Lonchura striata: one gene and its partners. The protein of the gene in region 2 interacts with the protein of the main gene of each other region in a pairwise test. Links are inferred from orthologs where the notes say so. Each region holds a gene or a part of one and is shown on either strand. Other genes may lie near its edges. The genes, in order: PSMD9, NCKIPSD and STAC.

What was found.
Region 1: the proteins of NCKIPSD (region 2) and PSMD9 interact in binary tests that used the Homo sapiens proteins (3 or more experiments, as listed by UniProt). The two-hybrid records come from large-scale screens. The link is inferred for Lonchura striata from reciprocal best matches to the Homo sapiens genes NCKIPSD and PSMD9.
Region 3: the proteins of NCKIPSD (region 2) and STAC interact in binary tests that used the Homo sapiens proteins (3 or more experiments, as listed by UniProt). The link is inferred for Lonchura striata from reciprocal best matches to the Homo sapiens genes NCKIPSD and STAC.

What each region holds. Positions count from the first base shown.
Region 1 is NC_134620.1:12,307,742-12,314,830, forward strand, and holds the start of PSMD9 (26S proteasome non-ATPase regulatory subunit 9), read right to left. Parts: upstream 3,016-7,089; 5' UTR 2,993-3,015; coding exon 2,879-2,992; intron 2,795-2,878; coding exon 2,692-2,794; intron 1,994-2,691; coding exon 1,800-1,993; intron 1,373-1,799; coding exon 1,271-1,372; intron 777-1,270; coding exon 688-776; intron 355-687; coding exon 327-354; 3' UTR 1-326. Other genes in the region: HPD (4-hydroxyphenylpyruvate dioxygenase), read left to right, coding at 4,284-4,286, 4,506-4,532, 5,268-5,330, 6,347-6,451, 6,589-6,631, 6,723-6,805, 6,934-7,023. UniProt on the Homo sapiens protein: Acts as a chaperone during the assembly of the 26S proteasome, specifically of the base subcomplex of the PA700/19S regulatory complex (RC).
Region 2 is NC_134614.1:12,596,503-12,603,469, reverse strand, and holds the start of NCKIPSD (NCK-interacting protein with SH3 domain), read right to left. Parts: upstream 3,003-6,967; 5' UTR 2,925-3,002; coding exon 2,754-2,924; intron 1-2,753. UniProt on the Homo sapiens protein: Has an important role in stress fiber formation induced by active diaphanous protein homolog 1 (DRF1). Induces microspike formation, in vivo. In vitro, stimulates N-WASP-induced ARP2/3 complex activation in the absence of CDC42.
Region 3 is NC_134603.1:108,980,053-108,987,217, reverse strand, and holds the start of STAC (SH3 and cysteine-rich domain-containing protein), read right to left. Parts: upstream 3,078-7,165; 5' UTR 2,988-3,077; intron 2,096-2,987; 5' UTR 2,075-2,095; coding exon 1,958-2,074; intron 1,929-1,957; exon of another isoform or gene 1,737-1,928; intron 1-1,736. UniProt on the Homo sapiens protein: Promotes expression of the ion channel CACNA1H at the cell membrane, and thereby contributes to the regulation of channel activity.

The DNA of each region.
Region 1 (7,089 bases), on a different chromosome or scaffold from region 2:
TAGCAAGGAGTTTTAAAGGGGAGAAAAAAGGAATGCTCTGTTATCACCAAAAAAGAGCATTTCAAGCTCTTCAGAGTGTGTATCAAGTGAGATTTGGGTCTCTCTAGAGCCTTATTCTAAACTGATACAAGGTGGAAGAGATGAGAAGCCACATCTTGCAGCTCTGCAGGTTCCTCCTGACAACCAGTGCAATTCTGAACTGCAGAACTCTGCCAGAACCCTTCAGGCACCAGAGGTCACAGCAACACCACGTAGGAAGTTTTCAAACCAGATCAGAGTCCAGAAAACAGGCACAAGCTTCAGCTTTATTGTTCTCCCAGTCACGGTCATCTTTGTAAAGGAACGATATTGCAGCTGAAAAAGAAGAGGGTAGGAGGAAATATTAAATTTTCATTTCTCAAACAGGCACAGAAGACCTGACGTGGGATGGCTCAGACCCTCCACAACCCTCTTCCACTGGTTTCCTCTACCAGACAAACCAGCCACTGAGACCTTTCTGCCTGGGCTCATGTTTGATGAAACTTGACTCCCTGTATCCCTGTGCAGAACCAGCAAATCCAGCTCCCTGGTGCCCACCTGTGAGGTCTGTCACAGTGGGCAGTGACACAGCCAGGGCTGGCCCTGCTCAGGAAACATGCCCTGAGCTGGTGAAAGCCTCTTCCCTCCAGCAATGAAACAGTAGCTCACCCCAGGAGGCCCTTCCCAGACCAGCGCTTTGGAGTCAGCCCCACGTGCACCCTTCTGCCACCACGGATCACAGTCACACTCAGGGGTCTCTGAAAGAGAGGTAAAAATAGAAAAATAACCAAAATATTTCACTTTTCCATCATAAAGTCAACTCTCTTCCTCCTTTTGCCTGAAGCACATGAAGAACATTAAGCCCGAGGAACTGTTCTGCAGCAGTGCCCATTCCCACTCCTGTGGCTATAACTGAAAGAAGAGAGTGCTTTGTGTGAGGTCATCTCCAGGAGATCCCCCAGTTCCACCACCAAGCACTTAATGGTTGTGGCAGCTTCTCTGGCCAGGCCACGAGGGTGGCACAGCAAAGCTGCTGCAGGGAGTCCCCGGGGAGAACAAAGAGCACACACCTCTCAGCTCTTCCATTCATGAGCAAATAGTGCTGGGAAAGAACAAGGCAACAACTGCACAGACTGAATCTGACACTGTTTCTGACATGGAAATGATGATTCCAGAGATTCAAGTTCCATAGAAAAAGCTGTGGCTAACAGAGACAGGCAAGAGAATGCAGTCACAGCAGGAATGAGCTCACCCCCTCGCTGTGCTGCACCACCGTGGCAATGTTCTGCAGGTTCTGGAAGTTGTTTGCATTGACAGATCCAAACTCCACAATCTCGTCATCAACTTGAAGTCCCTGGACAGAGATAGATGAGCATCTGCATTCTCTAAAGACAGGTGGTATCACAGGAGCACCACCCTTCACCCAGCCACAGGGAGAGAGATGTGCTACAACACTTCTCACACTCGGGCAAGTGAACATCACTACAGCCACAGGGAGAGGCAAGTGTTCATTCCTCTGTTCTGTTTCATGGGAAGAGAAATTCTGAGGCTGGAATGGTCAGTGAGGCCTGGAAGGAACTGTGTGGTGCCAGGATACAGCTCAGAGAACACCCATCTCATCCCTGTACAGCGACCAACCCCTTCACAGGACATCCCAACACGATTAAAAAAAGGGGGTGACACCCTAATCAAGCCCCCAGCTTATTCCCACTTATGGGGGAGGGAGCCATGAGCTGTCTGGCTCCAGACAAAGCCTTCCCCACGAGCTGTGCCCAACATACTGAGACACTGGCAGGAGAGCCCGGGGTCACGGTGTTCACTTTGGCAAAGGCCTGGGGCAGGCTCTGCTTCTGGCTCATGGCCTCGGCCAAGGCCTCTGCCTCATCCTTGGCGTGTTTCTCCTTCTCCCGGGCGTGCAGCTTGTGCAGAGCTTCCTCCACCTGCTTCATCAGGGCCTTGTGATCGTTCTGCAAACCTGTGGGTGACACCATGAGCGCACAGGGAGTGGAAAGGCGTCCCCCAAAGGGGTGTCAGCCACACAGAGCAGTGCCTTGGCTGTCTCTGATCTCAGCAAGAAGCTCTGCTCTATCTGCTGGGGCCTGGTGCCAGCCCGGCAGATGTTTATCAGTAAAAGTCTGACACAGAGAAAACCACCCTACGAGAATTTTGGTAAACATGCTGGGAGGCCCTTGATCCCCTAGAACTCGGTGAGCAGCTTAAATCTTCTTTCCATTAAGTCACCTGCTGTTACATACGTACCCATCCTGAAAGTCAGGGCACTGGAAAAGCCTGGGATGAAATAAACGCCAAGCTATTTCCTACCCAAATTTTATTCTACAAACAGCACAGAAAAACCTTGTGGTGCTTCACAGACCCCAAATGGCTCCGCAGCAGTGGCAGAATTTCAGCAACACGTGGACAAAAGCATTTTCCTGACTCAGCCCGGGCGGCAGCTCGGAGCACTGAGCAGATCCCCCGGGGAGCAGGCTCAGCGCAGCGCTGGGCCCGGTTCCGAGGAACGAGCGACACGGGGTTTCAGGGAGCTGCGCGCTGCCGGTCCCCGGGCACAGCCTTTGCCCCGCTCATCCCGGTTTCCCGGCTCATCCCGCGGCACGGCGGCGCGGCCCCGGGACGAGCCCCCCGCCCGGTGCCCGGCCCCCGTTCCCCGCTCACAGATGATGTTGTGCCGGGCGGTGCGCACTTGGTACAGGTCGATGTCCGAGCGGGGGAAGCCCTCGGCGTCCACCAGCGGCTCGTGCATCCCGACGCCCTTTTGCTGCGAGGGGAGAGGCGGCGGTTGGGAGGGGGCCGGGCCCGCACGGCGCCCCCCGGCCCGGCCCGGCCCTGCCCGGGCACCGACCCCCTCCAGCAGCTCGTAGCACGCCTTGATCTGCGCCTCGACCTCGTCCTTGCGCCGCACCAGCTGCTGGACATCGCTGACGGTGACGGGGCGGCCCTCGCCGGGCTCCGCCATGGCCGCGGCCGGACGGGAGCCGGGACGGGCGCGGGGCGGGGCCGGGGCGGGGCCAGCGGGACGGAGCGGGGCGGCGGAGCGGCGGCGCTACCGGGGTGGCACGGCGGTGACACAGCACCGACACAGCACCGACACAGCACCGACACAGCGGCGGCGCTACCGGGGTGACACAGCACCGACACAGCGGCGGCACTACCGGGGTGACACAGCACCGACACAGCACCGACACAGCGGCGGCACTACCGGGGTGACACGGCGGTGACACAGCACCGACACAGCACCGACACAGCACCGACACAGCACCGACACAGCGGCGGCACCGCCGGCACGGGGTGGCCCAGCGGTGTCGCCGTCACCGGGTCACGCTGCTGTGCTGGTGCCATGGGGTGGCTCTGATGGTGACACGTGGTGGCACAGCAGTGTCACCATCAGTGAGTTACACAGCTTTGATGGTGACATGTAGTAGCGCAGCGGTGTCACCACCACCGCGTGACACAGCCGTGGTAAACGATGTCCCTGTCCCTGCTGCTGGCCCCTCTCCAGTCTGTGGCACAGCACATTTGCCCGGTGCTGCATGGCATCCATGTCCCAGGGAGTGTGGCAACAGGGGACAGCCCCGCCACGAGACCCCCAGCCCTGTCCTCAGTGCCACTGGCACCCACCCAAGCCCCCTGTGCTCATCCTCTGGCCTTGCTGGTGGCTGCGACATCCCACCACTCCCAGCCAGGTGGAATTTGTGCTCTGGTATCTCCCCTGCGGGGCCATCTCTTGTCCCCTCCCCCTGCTGTCCCACATTTTGGGGTCCCTGCAGCGCTGAGCTCACCGGGGCTGAAGGTGGCACCGCGTGGCCCCGTGCCCAGACACCACCACACCCCCAGCGGTGGGCAGGCTGCCCAGGATGACATGTCCGCAGGGAGGGGTGAATGTCCCCAGGGGCAGCGGGCGGGCCGGGGGATGCGCTGCCCAAATCGCGTCACCCCCCCGCCCCCCGTGACTGTGACACGCACGGGGCAGGGATTTGGTGCCAGCCCTCCGCAGAGCCTCCCGTGCCCTCGGCACCCTGCACGTTTCACCCCGCAGTGCCACCGCCAGGGTGCAGGGACCCGTGCCACGGCCCCAGTGACAGCCGCCCGCCACCCCCCTTTGGGCAGTTCCCAGCCAAAACCAAACACATCCCTGGGTTGGTGGTGGGGGAAGGTGGGGCCGAGGAGGAGCCTCCCCATCCCCTTATATTGAAAGCCCCCCCGTTCTTGCACTCTCTTTGCTTGTGTCACATTGCCAGGTCACAAAAATGGTGAGGGGCAGCAGATGGGAATTAATTCAGACAACTGGGGCTCTATGGCACAGGATGCCTTGGGAGATTTAAGCTCTGCTTGAATTCGGATTTTCCAGTGACTATGCTGGAAGTGGCACACCAGAGCTGCTCCTCACAGCCTGACCTTTAAATTCAGCTCCCTGGGGCCGCTGTACTTGCCTGTCCCTCTAATTTCTCTCTTTTCTCATTTTCTTTCAGACGTCCTACACAGACAAGGGAGAAAAGGTAAGAGTTGTGTCCCTGTCCTGCCCTTCTGCCTGGTGTGAAACATGGGTCATGTTACTGCAGATTGTATCAATTCCTTGTTTACCTGTTGAAATCAGAAGTAAAACTGCTCTGGCTGGGTCACACAAGATCCTCGTTGTAAATTAGTATTAATAACTGAAATTTCTGCTTTGGGAGGAGAGTGATGAACAGGAGATGATGGGTATTTCCCAGTCAAACTTAGCCTTAAGCAGAATCCTTGTTCCATGCAACATTTATTTTCAAATGCTGCACTTTTTTGCCTCTTTTTTCACTTTTAAAGTGTGTCCACTGCAGAGTGGCCTGTGCCAGGTTGGGCAGTGGTGGGGAACAGAGCAAAGAGGGATCTGTCCTGGTGCTGGTGGTTGTGTAAGAGCTTTTGTGGAAGAATTAATCTTTAACACAGCGAGGTTTGCAGGTGGGCAGCTCGCTGGGATGGCCACTTGCGGGGAGCACTGGGAGAACTGGAATTGTGGCTGTGGGCAAAGGTGAATCGATGTTTTGCACCTTCCAACCTGTGGTGCAGGATCCTGTAGGGCTTGACTGTAAAGCACTTTGGAAAATCACCATCTGGGGGCCGTTCCACCCAGTTATTTCAGATTCATTTGCAGGAGATGCATTTCAGGGTCCCAGCTGCTGCTTTCCCCTGCTCTGGAGCCGAGCAGTGCTGCAGGAAATGCAGCAGCAGCTTTCAGCCCCATTTTCCCTCCCTTTTAGCCCCAACGAGGCCGCTTCATCCATTTCCACTCCATCACCTTCTGGGTCGGCAATGCCAAGCAGGTGAGAGGCTGCGGCCGCCGGGCACAGTGCAAGGGGACCACGGTGCCAGGGGACAGCAGTGCCTGGGGACAGCGGTGCCTGGGGACAGCAGTGCCTGGGGACAGCGGTGCCACAGGACAGCAGTGCCTGGGGGCAGCAGTGCCTGGGGACAGCGGTGCCAGGGGACAGCGGTGCCAGGGGACAGCAGTGCCACAGGACAGCAGTGCCAGGGGACAGCAGTGCCACAGGACAGCAGTGCCACAGGACAGCAGTGCCAGGGGACAGCAGTGCCAGGGGACAGCAGTGCCTGGGGGCAGCGGTGCCTGGGGGCAGCGGTGCCAGGGGACAGCAGTGCCACAGGACAGCAGTGCCAGGGGACAGCAGTGCCAGGGGACAGCGGTGCCACAGGACAGCAGTGCCTGGGGACAGCAGTGCCACAGGACAGCAGTGCCACAGGACAGCAGTGCCAGGGGACAGCAGTGCCAGGGGACACCTCCCAGGTGGGACAGGCCGGGCGCTGCAGGCATTGGCTGCCCGGGGGGCGTTGGTCCATCCCGGCAGCCCCTGGGCTGTGCCGCTGTCCCAAAGCCCAGCCCTGGCCTGGCGCCGGTGGCCTTGGTGGCCCTTGCGCAAGGCAGGGGCGGCTGCCGGGGGCGTGGGACGTGAACCATGGGCTCATGGCAGCTGATTTCCATCCCTTGCCCTGGGCAACTTAAACACCTCTCTGCTTCACACCCGAGCTGCTTTTCACCCAACCTGGCAGAAGGGGACACGCAGAAATGTCTCCTGCTCCATGGCATCCCTCACAAAAAGTTCTGGAGGCAGCACTTCCCACTGAATTTGGACTTCTTCCTCAATCCCAGACCTTTCTTGCCTCTGTTTGTTGCCCCTGGGCTGTGGGAGGAGGCGAAGATGCTGCCTGTTCTCACACACACACAGGGCAAGTGTGACTTGCACCTGCCATGGTGGCTGATCTCCATGGCCTGTGGGCCACCAGCACCTCAGCTTCAACCAGAGGGACTCTTTCCTGCCCACAGGCTGCATCCTACTACTGCAACAAGCTGGGGTTTGAGGAGCTGGCCTACCGGGGGCTGGAGACCGGCAGCAGGGAGGTGGTGTCACATGTCATCAAGCAGGACAAGGTAAGGGAGCCCTGACAGAGGTGCCACTGCCAGGGCAGGGAAAGGTGAGGTGCATCAGACATGAGGGTGCTGCCAAACCCACCATGAAAACCATCACCTGTGGCTCCATCCTCACCTCTCCTCCTCTTCCTCGACAGATCGTGTTTGTTTTCTCATCTGCTCTGAACCCAGGGAATGAGGGTAGGTGTCACTGGGGGGGATGGAGTAGAAAATGGCCATGGCAGAACAAAGCAGTTCTGCTCATGCCTGTGGCTGTTCCTGCTCGGGGCAGAGATGGGGGAGCACCTGGTGAAGCACGGGGACGGGGTGAAGGACGTCGCCTTCGAAGTGGAGGACTGTGACTTCATCGTGCAGGTGGGCAGCCCCTCCACCACCTCCCACACAGCCCCCCAGAACGGTGAGGGGAGGCAGGGAGGGCCTTGGGATGTCCTCCCCGGCCCAGGGGAGCTGTGGCAGGACGGGATCTCTCTCCTTCTGCCCAGAAAGCCAAGGAGCGCGGCGCCGTGGTGGTGAAGGAGCCGTGGGTGGAGCAGGACAAATTTGGGAAGGTGAAGTTTGCAGTGATCCAGACGGTGAGTGGCAGGGCAGGGCAGGGCCATGGAGCTGGCTGCACCTGGGAGGGCCCTCCATAAACAGAG
Region 2 (6,967 bases):
CAGCAGGAATATCAGCTGAAGTTGGGCGTTTCTAATCGACTCAAATTAACTTCACATCATCTGTACCTTCTGGTGCTCTGGCTGGGCCCAAGCTTGTTACTTAGGGGCATTCTAAGGAGGATTTGTTGGTGGAACTTTCCTTTCCCCTCCAACTAACTCTCCTTTAACAACAATACTGAGCCAGAAGGATTTCAATTAAAAAACCTGCAAAAATAAGCATTAAAAAATAACTGGGAATTATTTTTTCTTGTAGAGAAGCCAAAACATCAATCCCATATCCATGAAAGCTGAGGAGAAAAAAAAAACCCTGAAATGCAAGAGGAGCTCTGAAGAAAACTAATATTCCTAATAGTGCAGAGCAGCAAGAGCAGCCTCCCTCGTGAGCATCCTCTCAGCAGGTTGCTGTGAGGGGCTCTGACTGTTCCCCACCCTACTGCTCACCTGGAACCTAACTGCACTGCTGAGGAAGGCCAAGCTTACCTTTACAATGGTGACTCCTGTTGGCCACGCTCTCTCCCTGCTAACACCAATCATTAACGGTGTTTTTCCCTCCTGTGATTGGGGCAGCATTAATTACCTCCCAAACCGCTGTCACTAATTGGTCTCTGTGTCCTTATTTAAGCAAAACTGGGTGACAAAATGTTTGCACTCCTCCTGGACATTGAGCAAACAGTCTCAAGCACACTCTCAGTGAGCAGATGCTTTCTGCCATGAATAAACACATGTTTTAACTTCACATCAGCTCTTCAGAGCTGGCAAGATGCAACAACAGAAAGTCAGTCACAGACACGCAGGATGACTGCATCTGCAGAGCAGCAAATTAGATCCTGCTGCTTCACACATCATCAACAAATTCAGGTGCTGGAAATTTAATGGCCAAAACACAGATCAGCAGATGCAGGGAAGACTCTGTTTCCCGCAACAAGGTCTAAAGGCATCTGGGAAAGTTAGAGTTGAAGTAGAGGAAATGCCCACAAAGTCCCCAACAATGCTGCTTTAATACCAGTGCATTACTAACATGTCAGGAGTTAGCCTGGCAGACTGCAAGCTGTGTTGAGGCTGTAGCAAAATATGATGTTAGAAATTAATGTAAAGTCATAGAATAAATACTTTTCCTGTAAGATTTTGAGATGTATACTAGCAAGGTACCTGCAAGAAAAACTGGTATGAGTGAGCAGCCTAGGAGAAGGCTCCTGCACCCACAGCAGCGAGAAGACGTCATGCCACACAAGCAAATGAAGCAAGAGACTGCAGAGAGGAAACTCATGAGCAGCAACCTGGAGCTATGCCACTGTGGGGCTTTAACATCTAGCAGTTAATAAGGTCTTTGCTCTGTAACTAAATAGCTCCTGTACAGAGCTTATTAAAGGCTTATTGATTCACAAGATGTCCCCTTCCATCAGGCCATCCTGCCAGGCTGCAGAAGAGCCCTGGCTTCACAGGACGAATGGACCAAGTGGCCATCAAATGACCTGGTGTTGCCCTGACACACATACACACTCTCCTGTTAAAGCTTTCTCACTGGAGTGTTCTGCAAAGCCCACACCCACACTTACTTACAGCCTGAGTTTCTGCTAATCAGAAATTCAATGGCATCTGAAGGAGCAGCAGCAGCACACTAAAATAAAGAGGGTTGTCACCATTTTCAGACAGATGCCAAAAGGCTCCTTTGTAACATTCACATGCATTTCTGTGCAGTTACCCATTCACTGATGCAAAGTCTTCAGCATCCAGGTCCCACAGCTATCCCGTGGCCCAAAAGTACAAAAGCCCCCATGAATTAGTTCTATATGAAATACCCGTTTTAATTATAGAAGCCACACTTTCCTCCACTAAGCAGCCCTTGCACGGTACAAGTTACATGCAATCTCTTTCCCATGACACTTGCATGGCACAGTGCTTACACCCCAGCAGCAAACGGTGTACTCCATCCTCTGACCCCAGTTAGGGCCACAGCAGGTGCTTGGACCTTGGGTAATTCCCGGTATCATCAACTTGGCTGTAAGTGCTGCCATGGCAGGCAGCTGCCATGGCTTCTCCTGGCCCCCAGGACAGCAGGGGTGTGCTGTGGGTGTCGTGGTGTGTTAGTGGAAGGAGGACAATCACCCCTCACTATCCTCGCAGTGTCAGGGTGCCAGACACACGGAGCCCCCAGGCTGAGCAGCCAGCACGGAGATGGGGAGTGCACTAACTTACACCAACCACGGCTGCTGGCCGGGAGATTCCAGTTTACCTGTAATCATGTTTACTCCTGGGAGGAGAATCCCCCTCAGCATCTCCCAGGGATTCTCCTAGCTTCCTCTCCCAGTTCTGCAGGCGTGAACAGCCCGCCAGACTTTCAGGCCCCGGAGATCCGTACCCAGCCCCCTTCCTCCGGATGAGCCTGCTGAGATCTCACTTTGTCCCTGCCCCGCAGGGCTGGCGCTCCCCAAGCCTGACACCACAGGAGATGAATCCTGCCTCCTGCCACCACGGGATTCCCATCCCACAGTGTCCCAGACTGCTCCCGCCTGCCGCAGACCCTGCGGGGGCAGCCACAGAAGTCGCACACCCGTTTCCCCAGCCGGGCCGGCGGCTCCCGGGGCAGACCCGCGAGGGACGCGAGCGGCTGGGGCTGGGCTGCTCCGAGCCTGGGACAGCCGGGAAAGCCCCGCTGCCGCCAGGGGCCAGGGCAGCGCCGCCCGCCCCGGGAGCTCCGGCAGAGCCGCCCCCGCCCGGCCCGGCCCGGCCCGGCCCGGCCCGGCCCGGCCCACCTGCAGCCGCTGGAGGTAGGAGGCCGGCGCGTAGCCCGTCTCGCCAGAGCCGGCGCGGGTGACGAGCCACCAGTGCTGGTTGCTGCGCTCCAGCAGCAGGAAGGTCTCTCCGGCAGCGAAGGGCAGCGAGTTGGGCTCGGCCGAGCGGAAGCTGTACAGGGCCCGGTACATGGCGGCGGCACCGGCACCGGCAGCACCGGCACCTCGCCCGCCGGACCGGACCGGACCGGGCCCGCCCCCGCCCGCCCCGCCCACACGCCGCCGCCGCGCCGCCCCCCGCGCGGCACCGCCCCCTGGCGGCCCGGCGGCGCCACTGCCCCCGCCCCGCGCGCCCGCCCCGAGCCGCCCGCTGCGCCGCCAGGGGGCGCCAACGGCTCGCGCAGCGCCCCTAGGGCGGCAGCGACACCGGCACCGACACCGGCACCGATCCCGGTACCGGCACCGGCACTGACCCCGGCACCGACACCGGCACCGACCCCGATCCCCGTACCGGCACCGACACCGGCACCGACACCGGCACCGACACCGGCACCGATCCCGGTACCGGCACCGGCACTGACCCCGGTACCGGCACCGGCACCGGCACCGATCCCGGTACCGGCACCGACACCGGCACTGACCCCGGTACCGGCACCGGCACCGGCACCGATCCCGGTACCGGCACCGACCCTGACACCGACCCGGCACCGACACCGGCACCGGCGCCGGCACCGATCCCGGTACCGGCACCGACCCTGACACCGACCCGACACCGACACCGGCACTGATCCCGGCACCGACCCGGCCACCGACCCCAGCATCGACCAGGCACCGACCCAGGCACCGACCCGGACTGACACGGCACTGACCCGGGTACCGACCCGGGCACCTGCACCGGAGACTGACCCCCAGAACTGACTCACGGGCCGATGCCACGGGACAGACCCACGGAACCCGGGCACTGCCCCCGGGCCTGACCCCCGGGCCTGACCCCGGCACGGACCCCGAGGGGCCGTTCACAGCATCCATTAGGCCGGGCGCTTCCCCGGCACCGGCCCGTTTGTGTCCCTCCTCGGTCACACCGTGCCTGGGTTACTGCCGGCCCCTGGGGTCGCTGCTCCCGCCTACCGCCCATCGCCCACCGCCGCCCGGCCCCTCTGTCCCCCACCGTAGCCCAGCTGGCCACGGGCACATCGCTTCCCCACTGAATCTGCCCGTCGTGGCGAGTGTCCCTGAGCACCTCTCCTCTCGGAATGCCGTACTGCAGCACCCGGTGCCACTGAGTCCCTGAAGCCCTTGTGTGCCCACCAGCCCCACCCTGGGTGCCACGAGGGCTTCCCCCAGCGAGCTCCCCTGGCCCGGTCCCGTTCCCCAGCACTCCCCTAGCATGGATCGGGGCACGACCAGGGCTGGCTCTGACCTGCAGTGGACACAGTGACCTGGCACATGGCCATGGCACAGCCCATCAGGCCTGGAGCTCTCCATGAAGACACAGCAGCCCCCAGTCCCATTCATCTCTTTGCCCCATTCCAGGAGAACAACCCTTTTGGACACTACTCCAAGTAGCCCAAGACCCCTGCAAGCCACCCCACCTCCCCAAGATATCAGCAGCTTCCCTTGATCCCTGCTGCCTGGGGATCTGAGCCCTTCTCACTGTCCCAGGGAAGTGGGTGGCAGCCCTGCAGGGCATGGTTCCCTCTCCCTCTTCCCCAGGCAGGGTTTTCTCCATGCTGTCCTAGGAACAAGACAAATTTTCCACCTGACAAAGCCAGCACAGACAGCCTAGGAGCTGGGTGGGTGGGGACCTGGTTACAGCACCCAAGCCCACCACAAAGATATCCCTCATCCATCCTGCCCACCTCTGCCATCCTGCTGGGATGCAGGGATGCAGAGATGGAACAGTCCACAGATCCTCGCTCACAGTTACAGGGGGGTTTAACTCATTGAGAAACCATTCACAACCCAATCCAACCAGTGGTAATACAATAAAAACCAGGCTTGCAGCAGCCACAACCCCCTGCCTGCTCCCAGCACAGCCCACCCAGGCCCTCACTTTTCCCAGCACTGGCAGTGAGGTAATTCATTCTGTTCCTGGTTACGCAGGGATGGAGGATGGAGTGGGAGTGAGCGGTTGCCTAGACTCCCCCACTGCGGCGGGTACCGGGAATCACTGCGGTAGCTGAAGTTGGGCACACTCAGGCTGAAAAAACAGTGGGGTGCTTTAGCTGAGAACTGTGAGATGTAACTGGGGCTGAATCCTTCAGGAGCCCTTCAGGTCTGGACTTCCTGCCTGGTCATAGTCCCTTCCAGGTGCCCAGCAGGGAAAGCGTGACAGTGGGCAAGGGCTGGGCAGCTGGGATCACCACTGCAGGAAAGAAAACATTCCCACTTGTGGAGCCATCCATATCCCATGCGAACAGGATTCTCTGCTTGCCCGTCCCCTGCCCAGTTTGGCTGCAGTGTTCCCCCTGCCACTGTGTCCCCACTCCAGGTGAGCCCTGGCCATCCCTTGGCACAAGCCCAGCTGTTTGTGCTGGAATAACGGCGCTTTGTTTCCACGAAGTCAGCAGCACAGGCTGTGCTGGCAGGCAGAGGCAGCTGAGGGGGATGCAGGCACCCACCAACCACCTCCCACGTGCACAGCAGCAGCACCCCAGTCTCCTCCTGTGCTCAGCACAGCATCCCAGCTCTCCCAGACAGCAACTGGGAAGGATTTCCTCTGTAAAAGGCCCCTTCTTCTGCATCTGAGTAGAATGCAGAGCCCAGGACAAATTCCTGCTGCTGAGGAATCAGCTCTGAATTGCAAGTGCCAGGTGATTATATTGGGCAGGGAGGGGCAACGAACAAGGATCCTGCTGCGTCACTTGCAGATGATTTTTAAAGCTGAACTTGAGACCTCAGGAAAATAATACTCGCATCCCTTGCCCTCAGAGCCTTGGGGGACTTGGGTCACTGTAAGCTGTGAAGGGCTCAGTGCATGCGTGGCAGCCCCCACACTCCTGTTTTCCTCCAGAGCTGTGGAGGGGAAGTGTTGCACAACAGCATTCATATGATTGGAACACAAACTTGCCAGCTCCACATACACTTATATAATTCTGCACCGTCTGCTCGTCAACACGTTGCAAAACAGCAGTGGGATCAATCACTCCACTTTTAGGTATACAAATATTGTTGCATTCCCACCAGCTTTCTCTGGGTGAAAAGTCATAGGGATGTGAGGTGTTGTGAGGACCCCAGGCCCAAAGCTCCAGGGACAATGTCTTCAGTGTGCCCTGCAGGGGCTGGGGATGTCCAAGGCCAGGATGGCCAGGCATGTCCTTATTTCCCGGAGTCCTGATGGCCCTACCTCCTGGAAAACCTGGCTAAAAGGCTGTAGATAGGACCCTCCAATTGCATACATCAGTATCACTTCCAGAAGATCTCACCTCTCCGACTACATCAGCTCCCTTATGGGAGAATCCCCCAAACCTGTGCTGCCTGCCAGCAAGCTGGGACGGGTCCTCTGCTGGGCAAGAGCAAGCCCTGCTCCTGCCTCTTGCAAGGAACACAGTGATCCGTGCTGAACCCGAAAACACCCGCGAGGAGCTGCTCTTTTGATGGCCGCTTCCCCATGGAGCACAACATGTGGAGAAGCTGAAGCTGCCGGGGTAGTGGGTGGCTCTGGGACCGCTCTGTTCCTCCTGCCTGCCGGGCCGAGGTGCCCGCAGGGCTCCTTGCGCAACGAGTCCTGCACAAAGCTGGGGCTGGCTGGGGCCCAGACCCCTCCTGTGGCCGGAGGAAGGAGCAGCCAGTGCCTGCCAACAGCTGCACTTCCTAGAAACAGAAGAAGACAGAAGGTCGAGAGAGTTGAGGGATGGTGGAGGGGGGGCCGGGGGATGCTGTGGGAAGGATTGAGGCGCTGCAGGTTACAAGGCGAGCAGCATACAGCCTTGCGTGCTCTGTAGCTTCTCTTCAGGAAAACAAGCTCTTTGGCTTCACACAACAGCTCCCTGTTCTTTGTTAAACTCTGCTCATGTCCAGACCTGAGGAGCCCCTTGCCAACCCACGTACTCCGTGGGCCGGCACTGCTCTTTCCCATCTCTCCCTGCCGGGGCAGCTCTGCAGGCTCCAATGCCGTGCTGTGGAAACAAGTGGCTCAGGACAATGCCACTTTATCTGCCACCAACCCAATAGCCAGACAGAATTAATTTTGAGTGTGAGGGAAGTGGAGCACAGGGGTGCTTGGCAGCAAGAAC
Region 3 (7,165 bases), on a different chromosome or scaffold from region 2:
ACTCTATCTATTTAAATGACAATACATCATGCTATCTGATTATATTTGCAGCTCTAAAATGTGAATACACAGATTGTTCATTTATTAAGAATATCTCTATCCAAGTAATGGCATCAACTGCTTTGTCATAGCTTTTGCCTATTCCAGTGTATTGCTTCAAATGCTCAAAAGACTGAACAAAATTGATGATCACAATGTTTGATTATAAGCTAGTTTGCAGCCTATTTGTTCTCTGGCCAGATGTGCCTAATTCCTGTTGTCATCCTTGGAAACACACGGGTGCACAAACAGCAAGGGGGAACCCTCTGAGCAGCTCTTCACTTTCTCTTGAGTTTTGGATCCATGCCAGTCTCTTTTGGGAACAGCATTCCGTGACCCAGCAGGAAAATCCCTCAAGCACCATTGTTATCAAGTGGCACATGGAGTTCCTTAGCCATTCTGGCACAGGGTGAGCATCACAGCTGGGATCACGGGGAGCACACAGCCCACCAGGCCCCATGCACAGCCCAGAACACTTGAGCAGCTGGTGCTGGCAATGCAGTGAAAGCTGCAGGTACTTTTGGGACCTCACTACAGGCAAAGCTTTCCACTGCCCATATAACACTTCAGTAATTCCAGAGAAGTGGACTCAGGGGGGTGGGATTTAGGTACCGTGTCCTTTTAGAGCCCAGGCTTATACCAATAATCCATTTACTTTTCATTTTCCATGAACCAGGGAAACTCCAGTAGAGCTAAATGTGTGTAGTGAATATTGTATGCTATTATTACTGGAAAAGCTCTTTTAAAGAGGTTGCATTACACAGGGAATACCTCAGCTCTCCTCCTTGGAGTATAGCTTCTAAATAAATATATAAAATAATGAAGCTCAAAGCCCACATCAAAACTCTACCCACACAGACAGATAATTTGAGCTCACTCTCCGGAAAGTGGAAAGCTGTAACTGCAGAATAATGTAACAGTCTTTCTATATCAGACTCAGGCAGCCACTGCCTTTAAACTCAGGCCAGCACAAGACCTTCCCTGTCAAGCAGCTGTTTTGCTCACACCTCCTGAGGCTTTACCCACCTGTAAGCTCCTAGTGACAAGAACCCCCCTATTTTTACAAGTTTACACAGCATCACAGTATGAAGTTCACAGAAAGATCTGTCAGGTGCTATCATGGTATCAATCATAAGTAACAGAGCATCAGTAAAAGCATATTATCCAAGTCAGCTGTAAGGAACTTTCATTGTGTAAGGTTACTACTCTACCTTTTACCTCTGTCTTCCAAGTTACACCCTGGCAGTCAGAAAAACTTTTCGCATGCAAGTCAATTAAAAATTCAGAGGCCATGCCATTTGAGCTGAAAGTTGATTTTCAATAAGGTAAACTGAACCACACAGAAAAACTCACAAAAAGAAAACAAAAATCCTTTTCTGTGTGGTGTACATAAGGTTCGTTGTTGTAAAGCTGTGACTTATCTCCCGTTTTAGCAGACTCATTAAACAGTGAAAGTTCACTGATGAGTCTGCCAGAGAAGTAAAGTCAAGTGAAATACCCCAAGCCCCCAGACAGAATTATTTTCTCTGAACCTTTGAGGAAAAGAATTTTTTTCCAAAAACCCTTTAAGTGATCTGATACTTGGTGTGAAAATAGCTAACAACGTCCACTGACAGCGATCCCCTCCCCGAGCCCCGTCACTACCCCAGCATGTTACCATAACAAGGAGAAGAAAACAGAGGCAAAAATCCACAAACCCAAGCATCTCAGAAGGCAGGTATTTCCCCAGCTCAGACTCCTGAGGTGACAGAGAGAATTCAGAAGAAGCAGGAGTGTCGGAGCAGGCACCGCAGTCAGAGGTGGCTCATTGCACTCTGCCGCTGATCCTGGCACAGGGCTCCAAATGAAAATCAAAGCAATACATCTCTTTTCAAAACAAAGAAAGAGGGAAAAAAAAAAAATCTCATTCTCTGAGTACCTTTGATTCCTGGCTGGTAGTTGATGCTGGAGACGGGGGCTGCTCTGTGCTCTCCGCTTCATTCTCTTTCTCCACACTGTCCACGCTGACTTCAGCCGTGCTGCTCGGAGGAATCATTTTACCTCTAAAACACTGCTACTATCAGGGGAAAAAAAAAGGCTACAGATGGTTCTTGATTTTTTTCACGTAACGTCCTCTTTCTTCTCTGCTCTTTTAGAGCAAATGAACTCCGACCGCTTGGTTTCACTGTATTTGCCAGAGTAGAATTCTCTGGATTTTCTTTTTTTCTCCCCCCTTCTCCTCCTCCTTCCCCTCCTTCCTCCCCTCCCCTTTCCTATGCGATTGTGCTGCGAGGGAGTAAGTTATCGATGGTTCTGTAGGTCACTCGTGTGCCTGCTTTTCCACGATACTCCTCCCCTCCATATGAAGCCTGGAAGTGCGGAGCGGTGTCGTGACCGCCAGCCCCACAGTCAGAGGGGAGTGAGCTGAAGCAGCAAGCCCAAGCCACGCACACATGCACACACACACACACACACACACACACACACACACAGACACACACACGGCACTGGAGGGAGGAGTTGTATTTCTAATGCTGTGAATAGCTCTGGAGGAGCATGTGCTGTCATAGTAGTGAAAGAAAGTAACGCGTGCATGCACACACACACACACACACACAGGCAGGCAGTGACTACGACGTTTAGAAGCATTTTACCTTTTTAACACACTAGCAAAGACAGAGTTGAAGGGTACCCTCATATTCTTTCATGTCTTTTACTGAAGAAGAGGAAAAATGACTCTTTTTTCCTTGTCCCAGAGATTATTTAAAATCCTAGCTACTCAGTGTCTCTAAGGCTCCCACCTTGCCCACATCCCCAGCTTGCTAGCAAACGACAAGACAGAGTCAGGGGAGAGTTACCTGTGGATCCACGTGTTCCTTGCTCCCCTCCCAGGCAGGGAAGCCCAGCTCTGAGCCATACACACGCAATCTGGGTCATCTGGAGCTCTCACTATCATGCACATACTATACCTGTAGGTTGTCATAGTGATAACACTCCATCAGGCAGCAGCAGAACAGAGGCAGCCATTGGGAAGAGCCTGTTGGATTCCCCCAGTGCTGTCATTCCTGAAGATGCAGCACCTGAAGTCACGCTTGGGTCTGCAGTACTGCTGGCAGAAGGTCAGCGTGACTTTGCTGTCTGCCTCAGATTGCTTTATATTGCTCGAGGTTCTGCCTCTGATTTAAATCTGCTGCAAAGGTGCTTGTCAGCTCTCTTCCCTGCTGAACTGAGGTCTCTATTGCAAAAGGTTGAATGGATGTGCTTCCCACCAGATATGCCTTGCTGAGCGGGTGCCACTCCATGTGGCTGCTGGAGATGACTTCTTTCATTTAAAGAAAGCAGAAAAAAGCAACCCAAATATGTTTTTAATAGCCATAGTTACATACTGGAAATTAAGAAGAAAAAGAATAGTTGTTTAGTGGATGTATACAGGTGTTTGGAGGTGATTTGGTCAGATCTAAGTCAGAGATGGTCTTCAGTACCTTGTAGCTCTGGGAGAGGATACCAGATTCCCCTCTGTCCCCATCCCTTAGAAACACAGTTGCTACTTGGAGCTGCCTTGAAGGCCTCCTTCACCTCAAATAATCAATGTATGAAAGTGAAAGCAAGTTTACAGTATAGTAGGGGTTATACAGATGAAAGCAAGAGCAGAAATTGCCCTGCAGCCTCTGTATTCTTAATAGCTATGCAGAAGCCAGGAAAAAATTCAGCTTCTCTTTGAATCCCCAGTGAATCTTCAGGACTAGAACTTAGATGGGGAAAAGATCTTTATGTTTTTGAAACAGAGCATATAAAATACCAAAATCCTTAGCAGACAATAAAGATGAAATGCTGCAATGCTATTTGTACAGCTACTTCAGAGCAAAAGAGTGTCTTACGGGTCTGCCAGTAGAACCTATTATTTGGCCTGTAGACACTAACACGATTACAGGGATCAAAACGAGAACACTGTTTGCTCTTGAGGCAGTGGCAGTAACAACTGAGATTGAAGAAAGGAAATACAGAGCTCAGAGGGGCAGATTTGGCAGGTAAAGAAGAAGAATTTATTTCCAAGGGCTTGCTTTCTGAAATGCAGCAGTGTCTTAGACCATTCCCTTCAGTGGTGGAGAAATTCTCCAGGTGCAAAGGTAATTTCTTCACTCAGCAAGTAAGATTTGGTCTTTGCTGTAAAATCATCCTCTTAGCAATGAGCAGTGACTTGTTAGAGCCACAGTTTTGGAGAATTAGGGCAGCTGTGAGCAACGGAGATCTTGGCAGGGCAACCGCAATTGAATGCTCCAGTTCTGGCAGTAGCATCCTTCCCTGATGATCCAGCCTAGAACAGCCAAGCCATGGCCAGCACATGGGGTCTGCCCCCCGCAAGGACTCTTCTGTGTGCCCAGCAACCTGACAGGTGAGAATCATAAAACTATATTCAGTCTGGTTCCCCACAAGTGTTGTGATTGACTCTTTCCTGTTAAGAGGTTCAAAAACATCTTATGGTGAACTTGGAGGTTACCTTTGAAATGGTTGGGGAGTGGCTGGTTAATAGTTAATTCTCTAAGTGTTGTAAAATCCTGCACACATTTTGTATGAAGAGCTTGTAACGTCATGACTGTGTAAGTGACTATCATACCACTCTTTACTTTAATTGTTTTACCAAATTAGTACTAACACCTGCTACACTCCTTCTCTTCCCCCAATTACTCACTTGTCAACCACGATGGATTTGTCAGTTTCTTGACAATTAGCTTGGGAAAGATGAGTCAAGCATAAAATTTTACCAAAAAAGCAAAAAGGAAAAGAAACTGGATTTGTTACATTTTCATTTCCTTCCATGGGAGCTGGCTATCGAAGATCTAATATATAGTATAGCAAAACAGACTGATCAAGCTAGAGGAACTTACGTCTCTCACCCACGCTTCACTCCAGAGAAGCTGGACTTGTGATTACTGCTGATCAGACTCTACCTAAAGGAGCTCAGAGGAAATGGGAGTAGTGCAGCACAGTGCTAAACAAGAGGAAGTTGAACAGCTTCTGTAGCGTAGAGAGTGTAGATTTCTAGAGTGGGGAAAAGCAATTTGGATGAATAAAACATGAGCACCAATTCCCAGCCCCCAGCTGGAGTTGTTCGGCTGTGTAAAGGCTGTTGTGTGTTGCCTGGAGGCCCTGCCAAGTATTCCTCTGCTGGTGGTCTGATGCTGGCTGCATGGGTGCCCTGGTCTGATGTTGGCTGCATGGGTGCCATGGCTTGTCTGCCCTTCTTCACTCCCCCTCTCTGGTCCCACACACAAAGAGGACAGGATGTGGTGTGGCACAGCCCTCCTCACTGGGCTGTAGTTCTTCCTAAGCTCTGGCTGAAGCCAGACTGATAAGAGCATCCCTGAAGCTCCTGACTCCTGGAATATATACACACTTGCTGTGCTGCCAAGTCCTACATGCTGGAGACCTTCAAAGTGGCGAGATTAAGCTGGTGAGATATGGCCTATAGCATGGTTTTTGCATCCCTTTTTTTGCTTTTTTGTTATGGACATTCCTTTGAAATATTTTACCACCTCTCTGCCAATGATATACATGCACAGTGCTATATTTCACTAAAGGAATGACAAGAAATCAGTACTTACCAAATATTTTGATTTTGTTTATACTTCCATGTTAGTAGAGAAAAAAATAACAAGGAAAAAGGAAAGGGAGTATTCAGAACTTGCTGCATGAACCATTCAATGCTTCTGAACAGAGGGTCTAAGGGAGCTCATAGAGATGATATTGCTTGTAGATGGTGTTGGTTTAAATTACTATGTACCACTCTCTAGAAGTTTACAAAGCAGTGAGGAATCAGTCTGGTTGCTGCAGTCTGGATTCCTCTAAAGAAGACTCTTGAAAGAGAGCAGAATCAAGTTCACAGAATCCAGCCTCCAAGAGGATGCAGACTAAGAGCTGCAGAAACTATCAGACAAAAATTAAAATGTTGTCCTAGTAGCACTTGCAGTGAAACTTGATCAGCCTCACCCTAAGTCCCTCAGGCCAATTTATGAGCATTCCAGGTAAGAAATAGTTCTCTTTCTTGAGTATTCCAGGTGAGAAGTAGTTCTGTTTCTTTGTCAAATATATGTCATTGTGGAAAATGACAAGAGGATGCCTTGTGCCATCTGTGATGAGAATTTTACTTTTGGCATGGTGCTTTTGGCCGGAAATGGTGGTTGATATCTTCACTGGACTCTTCTCTCAAACATCTGTTTCACCCACATCTGGCTACTAGACTGCAAAGACCATTGCTGAGTATCTCTCTGTTCTTCCAAGTGACAGGCTAGTGGGCTCTTCTCTGCAGCAGACATTGTACCCACAGAGAAAACAAGATTAAAATAGTATCCCGTGGCTGGGGGTTTTATTTATAATTGTTAAAAATAGTCTAGAAACTGGTGTAAAATAGTTGATAATTGTTAAGCATGTACTTTTGGTTTAGTTATTCTATTGTAAAGGGGTTAAAAGAGTAGTTATAAGAAATACGGTACTCAACGTGCTGTATTACACCTAAGTAAAAGTGCATCAAAACCCAGACAAAAGGAGTCAGCCTGGACAGAACTGTAATGGGCCAATCAGGTGCTTTAAACCTTCATGCAAATGAATGGATTCAAACAGGAACCAATCCAGAGGGACAAAAAACAGGATAAAAAGGGCATCTGACCCAGTGAATTTGTGCTGCTCCACCTGGAACTTTGGTGACATTGCTGCTCAGGAAGACCCAGCGCTGGCTCTGCAGCATCCTCGATGGGAACTCTCCTGCTTGGACTGCGAGCCCCCACGCTTTAGACCTTTTTATTATAATAAATGCTGAAATCACTTTCAGTACTGGGAGTGTGGTCCCATTTTTAACAATAATCACCCTCCCCTCGTTTGCTTACTATACGATCTTGGCAGTTCATTGAGCAGCTAACATACCAACAAATCCCTGTGGATTCTGCATATCTAAATGCCATCTCAGGGCCACAATCATCAACTCATCAAGCTGGAAGCAAAAGCTGGTCAATGCTCTGAAAGCATTCCTGGTACTAATGGAACACTGGTGGCCTGCATTTTGACTAAATAATCTCAAAGTAATTTTTAGAGGCAAAGTATTAAGCCTCCCACTGCTCCAGGGAGTGTAGCAAATGAGTAACTGTGGAAGAAG